Cricetulus griseus: one gene and its partners. The protein of the gene in region 1 purifies or fractionates together with the protein of each later gene. This does not show direct contact. Links are inferred from orthologs where the notes say so. Each region holds a gene or a part of one and is shown in the gene's direction. Other genes may lie near its edges.

Region 1 (3,979 bases):
ATTTACAGAATTTAGGGAACTACGTAAAATGAACTGCAGACGGGCTGACATTGCACAGTTGTCTGGGATGAAAGCAACATTACAAAATGGTTTCCTTTTATATTATATAACTCTTCTCTGTTTTTAAAAATTTGGTATCTCAGTCATGTTTTACTTGATATCACCCCTCCCCAAAGAAGAGCAATGCAGAAATATAAGCCCACGCAAAGAAAGAGCTAGTTTTAAAACTCAATTCTTTCTCCTTATAGTTTCGGAACCCTGTATTGGAAAGGATAGCTCATTTCTACAGATAAAATAGCACAGGCTCGGGGGAGGGGAGTGGGTGTGGAGGGGTGGTAGGGAGTGCTGTCCGTAAACAAAGCTAGCTCTATGGTGAACTATAAATTCTGTTTTGTATATTATTTCTCTTTAGTTCGTTCTCTTTTGCTTTTTTGTGACATGATCACACACTATAATCCACGCTGGCCTCAAACCAGCTGTAATCCTCCAGCCTCAGCTCCTCCAAGGTTGGGATTTACGTGCCAGTTAGGGTGACCTTGAACTGCAGATCTTCCTGCCTCTGAACCCCAGCTGCAGTTTAGATTACGATGCTGGCCTATTCTTAGTGGGCTTCTGAATCTTGTTCAAACAACAGTAACAATAACTGTAAACATCGGCATTTACCCAAGCCGTTTGGACCATCATTTCTATCTCTGCTGGTTTTTTAAAAGCAATTAAAGACTTTGGATCCTGAGGGAATATGGTCAAATTTAGTGTACTGTGTATGAAATGCTGGAATTTTCTATTAAAAAAAAAAAACCATAAAGTCTGTGATTAAGTGTAGGGGAAAACCTTGGATTATTTTAACTATAGTTTAAGGTTTAAGTCATGTATAATCACCCAGCCCCGATTTTCTTTCTTCCCTTCCCTCCCCTCCCCTCCCCTCCCCAGCCCCACCCCATAATGGATGCTCCGCTAGTTGCATTTGCTCAGCCTTTGTCTGAGGATGCAAAGTCTACGGATGCTAGGGGGAAGGGGTGGGGGAGAGATTACCTCATACCATGTCGCTTGCACCAATCACCACTCTCCTGTCGCGGCTTCTCTGGGCAGACGGAGGGGTCTGGACCAACAGGAAAAGGCCGTGGCCCATCCCCATGGTGACCGAGCTGTATATAAGGAGCCGCATCCGCCCATGTGCCGCAGGTTCTCTTACATCGACCGCCTAAGAGTCGCGCTGTAAGAAGCAACACCTCCTCCTCGCCTCCGCCAACCTCCGGGCAGCCGCAAAGCAGCAACCATGGTGAGCCAGCCTTCTTCCCTGGTCCTCCGTAACTGGGTGGAATCAGTCTCCCGAGATCTTCAAGGGAAAGCCTAAGTCTTTGTCACCCCTGCGGGGAAGGGTGGTCTCAATGCTTTGTTAAGTTGAGCTTTGCGCGGAGTCCGTAAATCCCGCAGCCGCAGTGCGGGGCAGGGAAACGCCCAGACCCGGGGAAGAACAAAGGCTCCTGCGAGTGTTTGCTCGCACAGCCTGGGCCGTCAGGGCGGGGGTTCACGGCTAGAGGGGTGCGCTGCGGCGGGCGAGCAGGGCGGCGGCCGAGCCCTCACTCCAGAAACGCCGCCCCACTTCTATGGGAAAATGGTTAGTTTGCGTCGGATCCATGGCAGCCGGTGTCAGGGAGGCGCAGGGGCGGGGTTGTTTGTCTCTTGCTTCCGTGGCGTTTTGGGAGGGGTTCGCCCTCTCTAAACTTCCCTCGGGAGTGGTTTTTGTATTTTTATTTTTAAAAAATTGCTGTGGAACTGTAATCTTACAAGAGGTTTTGTTTGCTTGAGTGTCAAAAGTACGATTTACTTAACACCAGGACATCTCGCTGGGGAGAGAGGGGCTGGATAGTTGGTGAGGTTGCCTCGACTACCCTGATTGTCAGAACCCAGGGAAACGCCCTTCCCCACCCCCCACCCCCGCAGACAATGAAAGTTGTAGCTTTAAAGACAATAGAAAACTATCTCTATAGAATAAATAATACTAATATATTATGTGGTATGTAAAGATTCATCGAATAAAATACCATTTTCTAGTTTTAAATGTTATCTTTTTACTCGGTTTTTATTGTTGGCCCTTGTTTCTAACTTAGCTTTAAGAATATTTTGCTTCTATATAGTGGAAAAGATTCTGGAAAATCTTCATTATCTAATGAAACTGCTGCAAGGAAAAAAATTATACTCCGTATCCAACTGTCTTTTGTTCTAATACATCTTCACTAATTCATTATTTCAGGCAAATGGCCCAGACAGGGTTAAGAGGGTTAGGAAACTGAAAGCAGCGAGGGGATCGTATAGACAGCTGCTGGAAATAGAGCTTTCTCTGTTAAATAATGTAACAAAGGGCACAGGCTAGCACCAGGCACAGCAGACACAGCAATGCAGAAGTCACACTTTGTCTAGTGCTGATGAGTTCTGCAGAAGGGTGTGGCTCCTGCCCGCAGCCGCAGTACTGATGTCCATGTTGAAATACCAGATCACAAAAGATGAAGCATTCATCTTTACTTATCAGGAAAAGAAGCAATTAAAATAATTCCAGACAATTATTTCACTTTACAGTATCAGTGTATTAAGTATTTTTCGAACATGAAAACTCTTCTATTTAAGTATGGCTGTGAGAACAATGGGTTTGCACCAAGTCTTAGTATTAAGGTGACATTATTCAGACCACACCCCTTTGCAGTATTTGTATCAGGTACTCATTATTGTTTCTGTCATATGAGGGATATGACTCCAAATAAATTTCAACAATATTTGTGTTATTAGAAACACTTTAGAAATCTATTAAAATCTAAAATAGAAATACAGCTTAATTTCATAATTTTTCCCCCTTTTCCACAGCGTGAGTGCATCTCCATCCACGTTGGCCAGGCTGGTGTCCAGATCGGCAATGCCTGCTGGGAGCTCTACTGCCTGGAACATGGCATCCAGCCTGACGGCCAGATGCCAAGTGACAAGACCATCGGGGGAGGAGATGACTCCTTCAACACCTTCTTCAGTGAGACAGGCGCTGGCAAGCATGTGCCCCGGGCCGTGTTCGTAGACCTGGAACCCACAGTCATCGGTAAGTGGGCCAGGGGTTTCCCTGAGGCATTCTGTCCTGGTCACATACTCAGAACCTCTCCACACACCGCCGAAGAGTGAGTGAGCTTGTGTGTGTCAGTTACTGTTGTGAATGGTTGATTTCATCTCCTTTTCCAGATGAAGTTCGCACTGGTACCTACCGCCAGCTCTTCCACCCTGAGCAGCTCATCACAGGCAAGGAAGATGCTGCCAATAACTATGCCCGTGGCCACTACACCATCGGCAAGGAGATCATTGATCTTGTCTTGGACAGAATTCGCAAGCTGGTAAATACCATAGATGGATGGGTTCATTTAAAATGCAGTGTGGGGGAGTGTTGGGACCTGCCAAAATAAGTAAAGTCTGTTCACTACATTAATTAAGTAGACTTGTACATGTGGTCTATGGGTCATGAGATCATTTTTAATACCAATTCACAATTTTTTCCTTTCAAGTAAATGTGGTTTGCCATCTTGAGGAATTGCAAGCAGTGCTGAGAGTATGCCCTGTTGATAAACAATGCCTGTTCTTTTTTTCCTACAGGCTGACCAGTGCACAGGTCTTCAGGGCTTCTTGGTTTTCCACAGCTTTGGTGGGGGAACTGGCTCTGGGTTCACCTCCCTGCTGATGGAGCGGCTCTCTGTCGATTATGGAAAGAAGTCCAAGCTGGAGTTCTCCATCTACCCAGCCCCCCAGGTTTCCACTGCTGTGGTTGAGCCCTACAACTCCATCCTTACCACCCACACCACCCTGGAGCACTCTGATTGTGCCTTCATGGTAGACAACGAGGCCATCTATGACATCTGTCGTAGAAACCTCGACATTGAGCGCCCCACCTACACTAACCTAAATAGGTTGATAGGTCAAATTGTGTCTTCCATCACTGCTTCCCTCAGAT
Region 2 (4,167 bases), about 290 Mb from region 1:
CCTAGGCTTCCAGTGCTTTCTTTGTCCGTTAGGAAATGTGCTCAACTGCGTTTTGTACAAGTGCTGAGCTACATTTTGTGACTTCTCTTGTAATTTGCTTTGTTCAACATCCAACAAAATTCTAAGCAGGAGGCTCAGTGGTGTGGTTAAGAGCATGTATTAGTCTTCACAACTGCCTGGAGGCTGAGAAGTTCAGAGTTTGAGGCCAGCTTTGGCTACAGAGAGTACTAGGCTACCCTGGTCTATAATGTGGCAAGACCCTTTCTGAAAAAACAAAGCCAAGGAGGGTAGAGAGAGATGGCTTATCAGTTAAAAGCACCAGGTGGCTCACAACAGCCTGTAATTCCAATTACCTGGGATCCCACTCCCTATCCTGACCTCCAGGGGCACTAGGCATGCATGTGGTGCACATACACACATATAAACCAAACACTCATACACATACAGTAAATATAAAAATAAAAAATCCAAACAAAATATACGAGTCTCTGTATAAAAGTAACCTGAACAGACTCCATGCCTCTGACTTCCTTGGGCACCTACACAGACACACAAGATTGAAAGTAAATCTTTATAAAATATGTCAACTCTACTTTCCCAAGCTTGCACCTCCAGCTGCTTTGTTTGATACGTCTACTGGGTTACTGAATAAGAAAAAAACACTCCATTTTTTCATTCTGTCCTTTGAAGGCCTAAGGTTCACTTTGCCAACTGCAGATTTTGATTCGCTGACTAGACCTAAAGATGGTCAGAAAATTAAAACAATTAGCTAAAGAAATTTTCTTTTTTGTTGCTACTCTGCAGTCAAACGTAGTGGGAGATTGACTAGAAAAGAATCCACTGCCCTCAATTTACATAAAGCATTCCCTGTTTGCTGCAGCCCCAGGTTCCCTCGGCCTGAGGCATTGGAGACTTAAGGATTTGAAGCCTGGGCTCGCCCAGAAAGCTCTCACACGGAAGTGCACTTGGGTGAAACCACCAGATTCAAAGCCTGCAAGGTTGGTCTGGCGACTAGGCCGGTCTGGCTCAGCATTTCTTGCCTGCAGGGCTCAGAAATAAGGGGCTGCAAAAAATTAGGCTCCGGGTGGGGTTAGGGTTGGGGTTGGGTTCCGGCAGGTCCCCTTCGGCGAAGCGCCTGCGGCATACATAACCTCTGCACTTCAAGACTTCCGCACTCTGGGCCCTCACAGTAAAGAAAGGCCTCTAGAAGATTCCACGAGTCTCGGAACCCGGGCCTGAGTCCACCCCCACAAGGCCCTTGGGCACGGCCACTCCCAACCCCAGCGCCCCCGCGCCGTTGCCCAGGTAACCGAGGGGCGGCGGCAGCGGCGTGGGGCGGGACTTCCGGCGAGTGACGCGCCCGGGCTCGGCTACAAAAGAGGTCGGCTGCGGCGGGCCGGGCGGAACTTTCCAGAACGCTCCGTGGGAGGTGGAGGAGCAGCGTCTGCCCCAACTGCGTTGTGCTACGCTCCTCTTTCCGCTCTCCGGCACCGGCCCGCTCACCGGTGAGTCTCGGCCCTCGGGCCTTCCTCGGCCGCGACGTGCGGCCTGGGCGCCAGATAGCCGAGGGGAGCCGCAGCCGGAGGCGGTTGGCCCCGCGTGGGCAGGGGCTGCGGGCTCCCTGAGCCGGAATCCGGCTTCGGAAGGCCGCCGGGATGCCCGGCGCCCTCCCCGACCGTCTGTACGCCGCGAGGAGGCCCAAGGCCCGAGCCAACTCGGCGCCCGCCTCAGACTCCTGTCGGTGCGCACCCCTTTCTCCCCGCCGCCCGCGCCGGGTGGGCAGCGCTGCGCACGCGCGGACCGAGGCAGGGGTGAGGGGCTGCGGGAGGAGCCGGGCGGAGGCTGCGGCTTGTGCTTCTTCTCCTGGCTCTCCTCCCTCTCTTTGTTGAGGTCCGGCCTTCCCCCTCCGCCTTTTCGATCCGGGTGGGAGGGAGAAAGGAAGGAAACCTTAACTGTAGGCGCCAGGTGCTGGGGGGAAATCCAGAGGGCGAGTCAGCTTGGCGGGCCTGAGGGACGAGAGTGGGTAAGCGGCGAGCAGGATCAGGATGGCGACGGGGCCGGGGGCACCTGCTCCCCGGAGCTGGTCTCATAAGCCACTCCTCCACCCCCGGGAGTCCACTGTCCTTTTCCGGCGAGTGAGGGCCTTTATCAGATGTACAAAGGCAGTGCTAATGTACTAACCAATGGACAGAACCTACCAGTGCTGCTTTGGGTTACTAGCACAACCTGTGGGGAAAGGAAACCGGAAGGAGCCCCATCACACATGTGTTAGTGCGGCAGAGTAGGAACCAGCTGCTAGAAAGGCTTTCGAGTTCCCCGCAATTTACGTTTATATTTAGTCTGTTAGAATTTTCAGCCAGATCATATCAGGAATTGATAGCTTTAAAGTTAGCGAAGGCAGTGTTCTTTATACGGCAAAGAACAGATTGCTCTAGTTCTGGTAGTTTGCTAAAAACTACCAATTAAAAGCCGGTCATGGTGGCTCACACCTTGAACCCGGCTCTCAGGAGGCAGAGGCAGGTGGCGCTTCTGCACAGCACTAAAAGCTGGTTTAAAGCTCCCCGTTTTTCTGATTTCAGGCTGTGAAAGATGGTGAAAGAAACCACTTACTATGATGTTTTGGGGGTCAAACCCAATGCCACCCAGGAAGAACTGAAGAAGGCATATAGAAAATTAGCCTTGAAGTACCACCCTGATAAGAATCCAAATGAAGGAGAAAAGGCAAGTACATTCTCGAACAGTTCAGCAGTGTTGCCATGTGTGTACTGCTGGTGCCCGAAAGTCAAGGTTGTAATACAGTGGCTGTGCCGTGTGACAGTTATTTCTAATGGGATTTCTTTTTCTGAAACAGTTTAAACAGATTTCTCAAGCTTATGAAGTTCTTGCTGATTCCAAAAAAAGGGAATTATATGATAAAGGAGGAGAACAGGCCATTAAAGAGGGCGGAGCAGGTGGTGGTTTTGGCTCACCCATGGATATCTTTGACATGTTCTTTGGAGGAGGAGGGAGGATGCAAAGAGAACGGAGAGGTAAGAAAAAGTACAGCTTACCTGCAGCAGAATGAAATGGCTGCTACTGAAAAACTGAATTTACTACCTTCAGTGCTTGTTTACATATTGGTATGATGCCTCTGATTTCTGGTGTCATTTAAAATTGAGATTTTTAAAAAAGAAATTTAGATAGTTGAGATTTTTATGTAATCAAAATAGCTAAGCCAATCTAGTGGGTATCTCCCATCCACAGATACCCAAACAGTAAGATAACAGCATGGCAACCTGGGCTTCTAAGCCCTTACACATCATGCCCCTAGAACAAACACAAATGGTTAAGTGTAATGGCCTTTATCAGTTAAAGAAGAGTTGAGAAAACTGAAACATAGCAAGCCAAGACTGAAAACAGCTCATTGCCTCCAGATAACCTGCTGCCTGTTTAATCTTACTTTAGCTTGCTAACTCAGTTTATATGCATTTAATGTTTTAACAAAAAAGTTGTCTCTGAGCTAGACAGACTTCTTGGGAAGATAGCATTGGAGGTCAATAGTACTTCATTTTTGTTTACTGTGTTTTTACAAGAATTTACTGGAAATGAATGTTGTGGCCCTGAAAAGTGGCTCAGTGGTTAAGAATACTGTACTCTTTGCAGAAGATCCAGATTTCAGTGCATGGCTCACTACTGCCTGTAACTCCCGCTCAAGAGGATCTGATAACCTCTTCTGACCTCTGGGCTTTCATACAAACATGTATGCACAAAAATTAAAATTAAAAAAAATCTGTTGTGAACCATAAGGATAGTATGAGCTACTAACTTTTGGCTTATTTTAATATGAGGGTTTTTGTTGCTGCTGCTTTGGAAAGTATACTTGGTCAGTTTCCAGAAGCTTTGTTTTTCCTTTTCTGTACTCTGTATACAAAGTTAAGAAATGGGCAACTTTCAACTTGGAAGAACCTGCTTACATGTTCTTTTTGTGATAGTAGAAATCTAAAGTAAAGCTAGAAACAAAAGGATATGATACTTAACATCTCACTTAAAAGAGTAAATGTTCCTTTAGGTATGATGGTCAGAAAGGATTGAAACTGTTGTTAGCCACCAGGCAGTGCCATTTGGTGATGGATAAAGTCCTAGTGGAAGGATCACTGGCTAGGAACTTATTAACCATAGAGGGTAATT
Region 3 (4,030 bases), on another chromosome or scaffold:
CCGCGCACTGGGACAGGGCACATATGGTGTGAGACCTCAGTACGCAAGCGCATCGCCCCGCCGCCTCGGCGTGGGGACGCAGGGCGCGGCTCATCGAGAGCGGCGCTTCGGATAGAGCGTCTTCAGTGGACCCGCCGGCCAGGTGGGAACCCGAGCGCCCCCTAGCCGCAGGGGACTGCCGCGCGCCGACGCCCGGCAGCTCCCGGATTCTAGAACCTAGAGCCCTGTCGACAATGAGGCTTTTCGTTTCCCACTCACGTCAGCACCCTCCCCGGGGCTGGCATTCGACTCGGGACTGGCACTGAAAACTCCCTCAACCCTGCATTTCCTCAGTGGCAGGGAGTTTCATCCATTACGGGACCGCAAGGAGCCCATGATGAGCCTTCCGGGGTTCCCCAGGGAACGTAACACCCAGAAAAAAAAAAGGGGGTCCCCCTCGGTAACTAACACTCGTGTATAAAATAACACTTCGTACACTTAGCAGCACTGTGCACATTTATTAAGGGGGAAAGACTCAAGGGTACAGCGACCATTCCCACGATATGAATCCTTCGTGTGAGCAAGCTCTAAAGACTCCATGCGTTGCAGGAAATCAGGAGGGAAGACTGACGCGGTAAGAATGTTCTCCATCTGGTGTGGGGCGGTGTGATTGGTGTGAGCTACGTAGTTACAGTGCACTGTGGTGAGCTACGCTTCAACTTTAGAAACCATTAAACGCAAAGGAAACGAAGCCCCATGGTCGCCCAGGAGCAAGACCGGGCTCCTTTCGAGGGAGCACAGCGAGTGCGGACGCGCAGCCTGCGCACAAGGAAAACTACAATTCCCAACGTCCTTAGCGCTCATGCCTCCGGTCGTTAGCCCACAAGCGTGGGGCTGCAATCTTGTAGTTCCGGGTGGCGGAGGAGATTCGCACTCTCCGAGGCTTTCGTCACTCGCCAGCCGCCCCTTCCGCGGTTGTCTCACCGTGCATCGCGAGAGGACGTTAGCCAATGAAAAGGAAGAGCCGGCAGACCCTTCGCCCTTAACAACCGCTGCGAGGCTGAAACCTGCGTGAACCCGATCGGCATTCTTGAGCTGCAACTTCCTCCCTTCGTAGGCATCACCGATAGCCCGGGTAACGCAAAGGAGGAGCCGCTTTCCAGGGTTGAAGGCCGTGTCGCGGCTGCACACCCGGCCGGGCGGGGTCGGGGCGGGGGGAGGGCGCGGCCGGGACAGCCTGGTGTGTGCGCCGGAGGCTGTGACGCATGCGCCCCAGGCCCCAGGTGGTGCCGAGTATCGTCCCCCCGGAACTCCTCCACCTGTCTCTGGAGCTCAGGGAGTGGCCAAGAATCTGCAGAGCGGTACCTGGGGTCGGGGTTTCGGGTAGGAGTTTGTTAGGTGTCAGCCCCCGAGTTAGTTCATCGGTAAGAAGAATACTCGGGCTGGTTCAGTCAACAGGAAGTTATGGGGAACCTCTGAGCCATCCATCTCCTGACCCCTCCGCCCCCGTCTAAGGCAGCGACCACCACCGCCTGCCCTAGCGCGGCTCTCGTGAAGCTCCGAACCTCAATGCAAAAGTTCCCTGTAAAAAGATTCCCCCGTGGATAAGCGAATGCTGTGCTTAGATAATGTCAACATTCTGACGAGCTCGTTTCGTGGCCGGTCATTTGTTTAATCCCGAGTGCAGAGCCTTATATTCTTTTTTTAAAAAATATTTTATTTATCTATTATGTATACAACACTCTGCTTCCGTGTATATCTGCACATCCGAAGAGGGCACCAGATCTCATTACAGACGGTTGTGAGCTATCATGTGGTTGCTGGGAGTTGAACTCAGGACCTCTGCAAGAGCAGTCGGTGCTCTTAACCTCTGTCTGAGCCATCTCTCCAGCTCCGAGCCTTATATTCTTATATATTTCTCCTGCGGGGATAATTTTGTCTGTGAGATGATTTTTGTGGTGTTTCTGAGACGTCTGTGAGATCGGCTTGGACCGTGGGCCTGGCTAGTGGGGAGTGAGGATGGTTTTGATTGCTTTAATTAAAGCAAGGAGACCTGCCCATCTGTGCAGCACCGTTCTGTTCCCCGAATTGGTAAACCTAGATTAGGTGTAGAGAGGAGGCTGGACGCAGGCATGCAGGTGTTCGTTTCTCTATGCTTATGATTGGACGCAGTGTCTTCTGTTCCTGTCTCACTTTTCCTGGCCTCCAATTCGAATAAACCTACCTCCTGTATAGCTGTTTTTCGTTAGGGTATTTCTGAGGAAGTATAGGAATGAAACTCCTTATGGCAATGTCCATGAAAAAAAATGGCTAAAATTTACAGAAGCCATAAAGGAAGTTAGTACAATTAGAGACTTCCCTGGGTCCTGGAACTGTGGACCAGGTCTTTGATGGACTGGGTCTTTATCCCGGTTTCAGCAGGTGTTGGGGCCTACATGCTAGGTTCTAAGGTCTCAGAATGACTAAATGACTTCTACTGTGATACTGTCTCAAGCCCTGTTACCAAGACCCTGTGTTTAAACAACAACAAAACCCCCAAAGTGTAAATGAAATGCTTGTTTTTGTTTTTGTTTTTGTTTTTGACTCTCCCAGCATCAGGACGATTTAGAACAATGGAAGGTAATGGATCCATCGACATGTTCTCAGAGGTCATAGAGAACCAGTTCCTCCAGGCTGCTAAGCTCGTGGAAAGTCACTTGGACTCTGAAATTCAGAAACTGGATCAAATCGGTGAAGATGAGCTGGAACTCCTCAAAGAAAAGAGGCTGGCGGCACTCAGGAAGGCCCACCAACAGAAACAAGTAACCCCTCTGGCCTGCTCCCTGAAATCGCCTTGGCACTGGCTCCTGACTGCAGTGTGCTGTCATGTGACCTTCCCTCCTCATTTTCAGGGTGTTCTGAATTGAACTCTCTGTCACTGTTGAATGTTTTCCCAGGAATAAAACTTGAGGGAAGACTTAGGCAAGATAAAACATGTAACCAAGGAGCTGGCATGTAAAGAGAGAGATTAAAACTTCTCTTTCAGACCAATCTTAGGGTCCACATATCAAATTGAAGACATACAGTAGTTCCATGGGAAAAGATATTTCTAAGTGTTTAAGCATGTGTGCATTCTTATTAAATTGTCTGTTTTGGAGGAGTGGAGGTGGCAGGCTAGAACTCACTGTGCAGCCATGACTGGCCTGCTTCTGCCTCCAGGAGTGCTGGAATTGAAGGCGTGTACCACCACGCCCAGTTCTGCATTGTCATTTATTTTCACGAAAACTCAGTGAGATGATTGTTTTATCATATCCAGTTGCAAAAGAGAAAATGAAGGCTCAGAAAGGTCATTAAGGTTCAGTAAATGGTGGGAAGGGTATTGAAAGGCATAGTGAGCGTCTAGTTGAGGTGACAAAGTCTCTGCCAAGGGAAAGGTGGAAGGGGCTGAAAGAGTTCTCAGGCTTGGTTAATAGGGGTGTGTGCCTTGGGTTTCGAAGTTGAATTATATGTGAGGTTTTCCTTGGTTCTGGACACCCCATGAGTAGAATACTTTTCCTTCTGAGGAGTTTGTTCACTGATGGCTAGTCTAGAAGCCCTTGCCTGTTTGAGATTGTTATCAGAAGGAGATCATTGGGTTCCTAAGCTGCTGAACTGCAGTAACCACACTGTACCCCCCAAATTGACAGGTTTATTTCATGGGGTGGTTTGTTTTTTGTCTTTTTTAATTACTTCTTATTTTTGAGATTATAATACAGTTCCATCATTTCCCCCTCCTTCTCCCTCCCTCCAAACCATCCCTTTCAGATTCATGGCCTGTTTTCATCGATTGTTGTTACATCCATAAGTGTATATATGCATACGTATTTCTAAATATCGTTAGTTTGCTCAGTGTGTAGGATGTTACTCACATGTACATTTTAAAGGCTGACCATTTGGTACTGAATAACCAATTGGTGTGCTCTTCCCTAGAGAAGACTATTTCTCCATTCTCAGCATTCCGTAGTTTCCTGTAAGAACATTATTCTTTTTAAAGTATAGACCTGAGTGTGTGTGTGTCTCAGTGGAAGAGCTC

What was found. Proteins that work in one complex are often made in the same cells at the same time.
Region 2: the proteins of Tuba1a (region 1) and Dnaja1 purify together in Homo sapiens (affinity purification with mass spectrometry; 3 studies listed by BioGRID and IntAct, with this or other methods). This does not show direct contact. The link is inferred for Cricetulus griseus from reciprocal best matches to the Homo sapiens genes TUBA1A and DNAJA1.
Region 3: the proteins of Tuba1a (region 1) and Txndc9 purify together in Homo sapiens (affinity purification with mass spectrometry; 3 studies listed by BioGRID and IntAct, counting the BioPlex papers as one, with this or other methods). This does not show direct contact. The link is inferred for Cricetulus griseus from reciprocal best matches to the Homo sapiens genes TUBA1A and TXNDC9.

The regions. Positions count from the first base shown.
Region 1 is NC_048595.1:395,417,920-395,421,898, reverse strand, and holds the start of Tuba1a (tubulin alpha-1A chain), read left to right. Parts: upstream 1-1,179; 5' UTR 1,180-1,276; coding exon 1,277-1,279; intron 1,280-2,564; exon of another isoform or gene 2,565-2,859; coding exon 2,860-3,082; exon of another isoform or gene 3,083-3,219; coding exon 3,220-3,368; exon of another isoform or gene 3,369-3,425; intron 3,426-3,624; coding exon 3,625-3,979. UniProt on the Homo sapiens protein: Tubulin is the major constituent of microtubules, a cylinder consisting of laterally associated linear protofilaments composed of alpha- and beta-tubulin heterodimers.
Region 2 is NC_048595.1:101,876,114-101,880,280, reverse strand, and holds the start of Dnaja1 (dnaJ homolog subfamily A member 1), read left to right. Parts: upstream 1-1,367; 5' UTR 1,368-1,505; intron 1,506-1,874; exon of another isoform or gene 1,875-1,890; intron 1,891-2,579; 5' UTR 2,580-2,589; coding exon 2,590-2,721; intron 2,722-2,851; coding exon 2,852-3,029; intron 3,030-4,167.
Region 3 is NW_023276807.1:10,255,546-10,259,575, forward strand, and holds the start of Txndc9 (thioredoxin domain-containing protein 9), read left to right. Parts: upstream 1-1,230; 5' UTR 1,231-1,244; coding exon 1,245-1,362; exon of another isoform or gene 1,363-1,403; intron 1,404-2,571; coding exon 2,572-2,780; intron 2,781-4,030. UniProt on the Homo sapiens protein: Significantly diminishes the chaperonin TCP1 complex ATPase activity, thus negatively impacts protein folding, including that of actin or tubulin.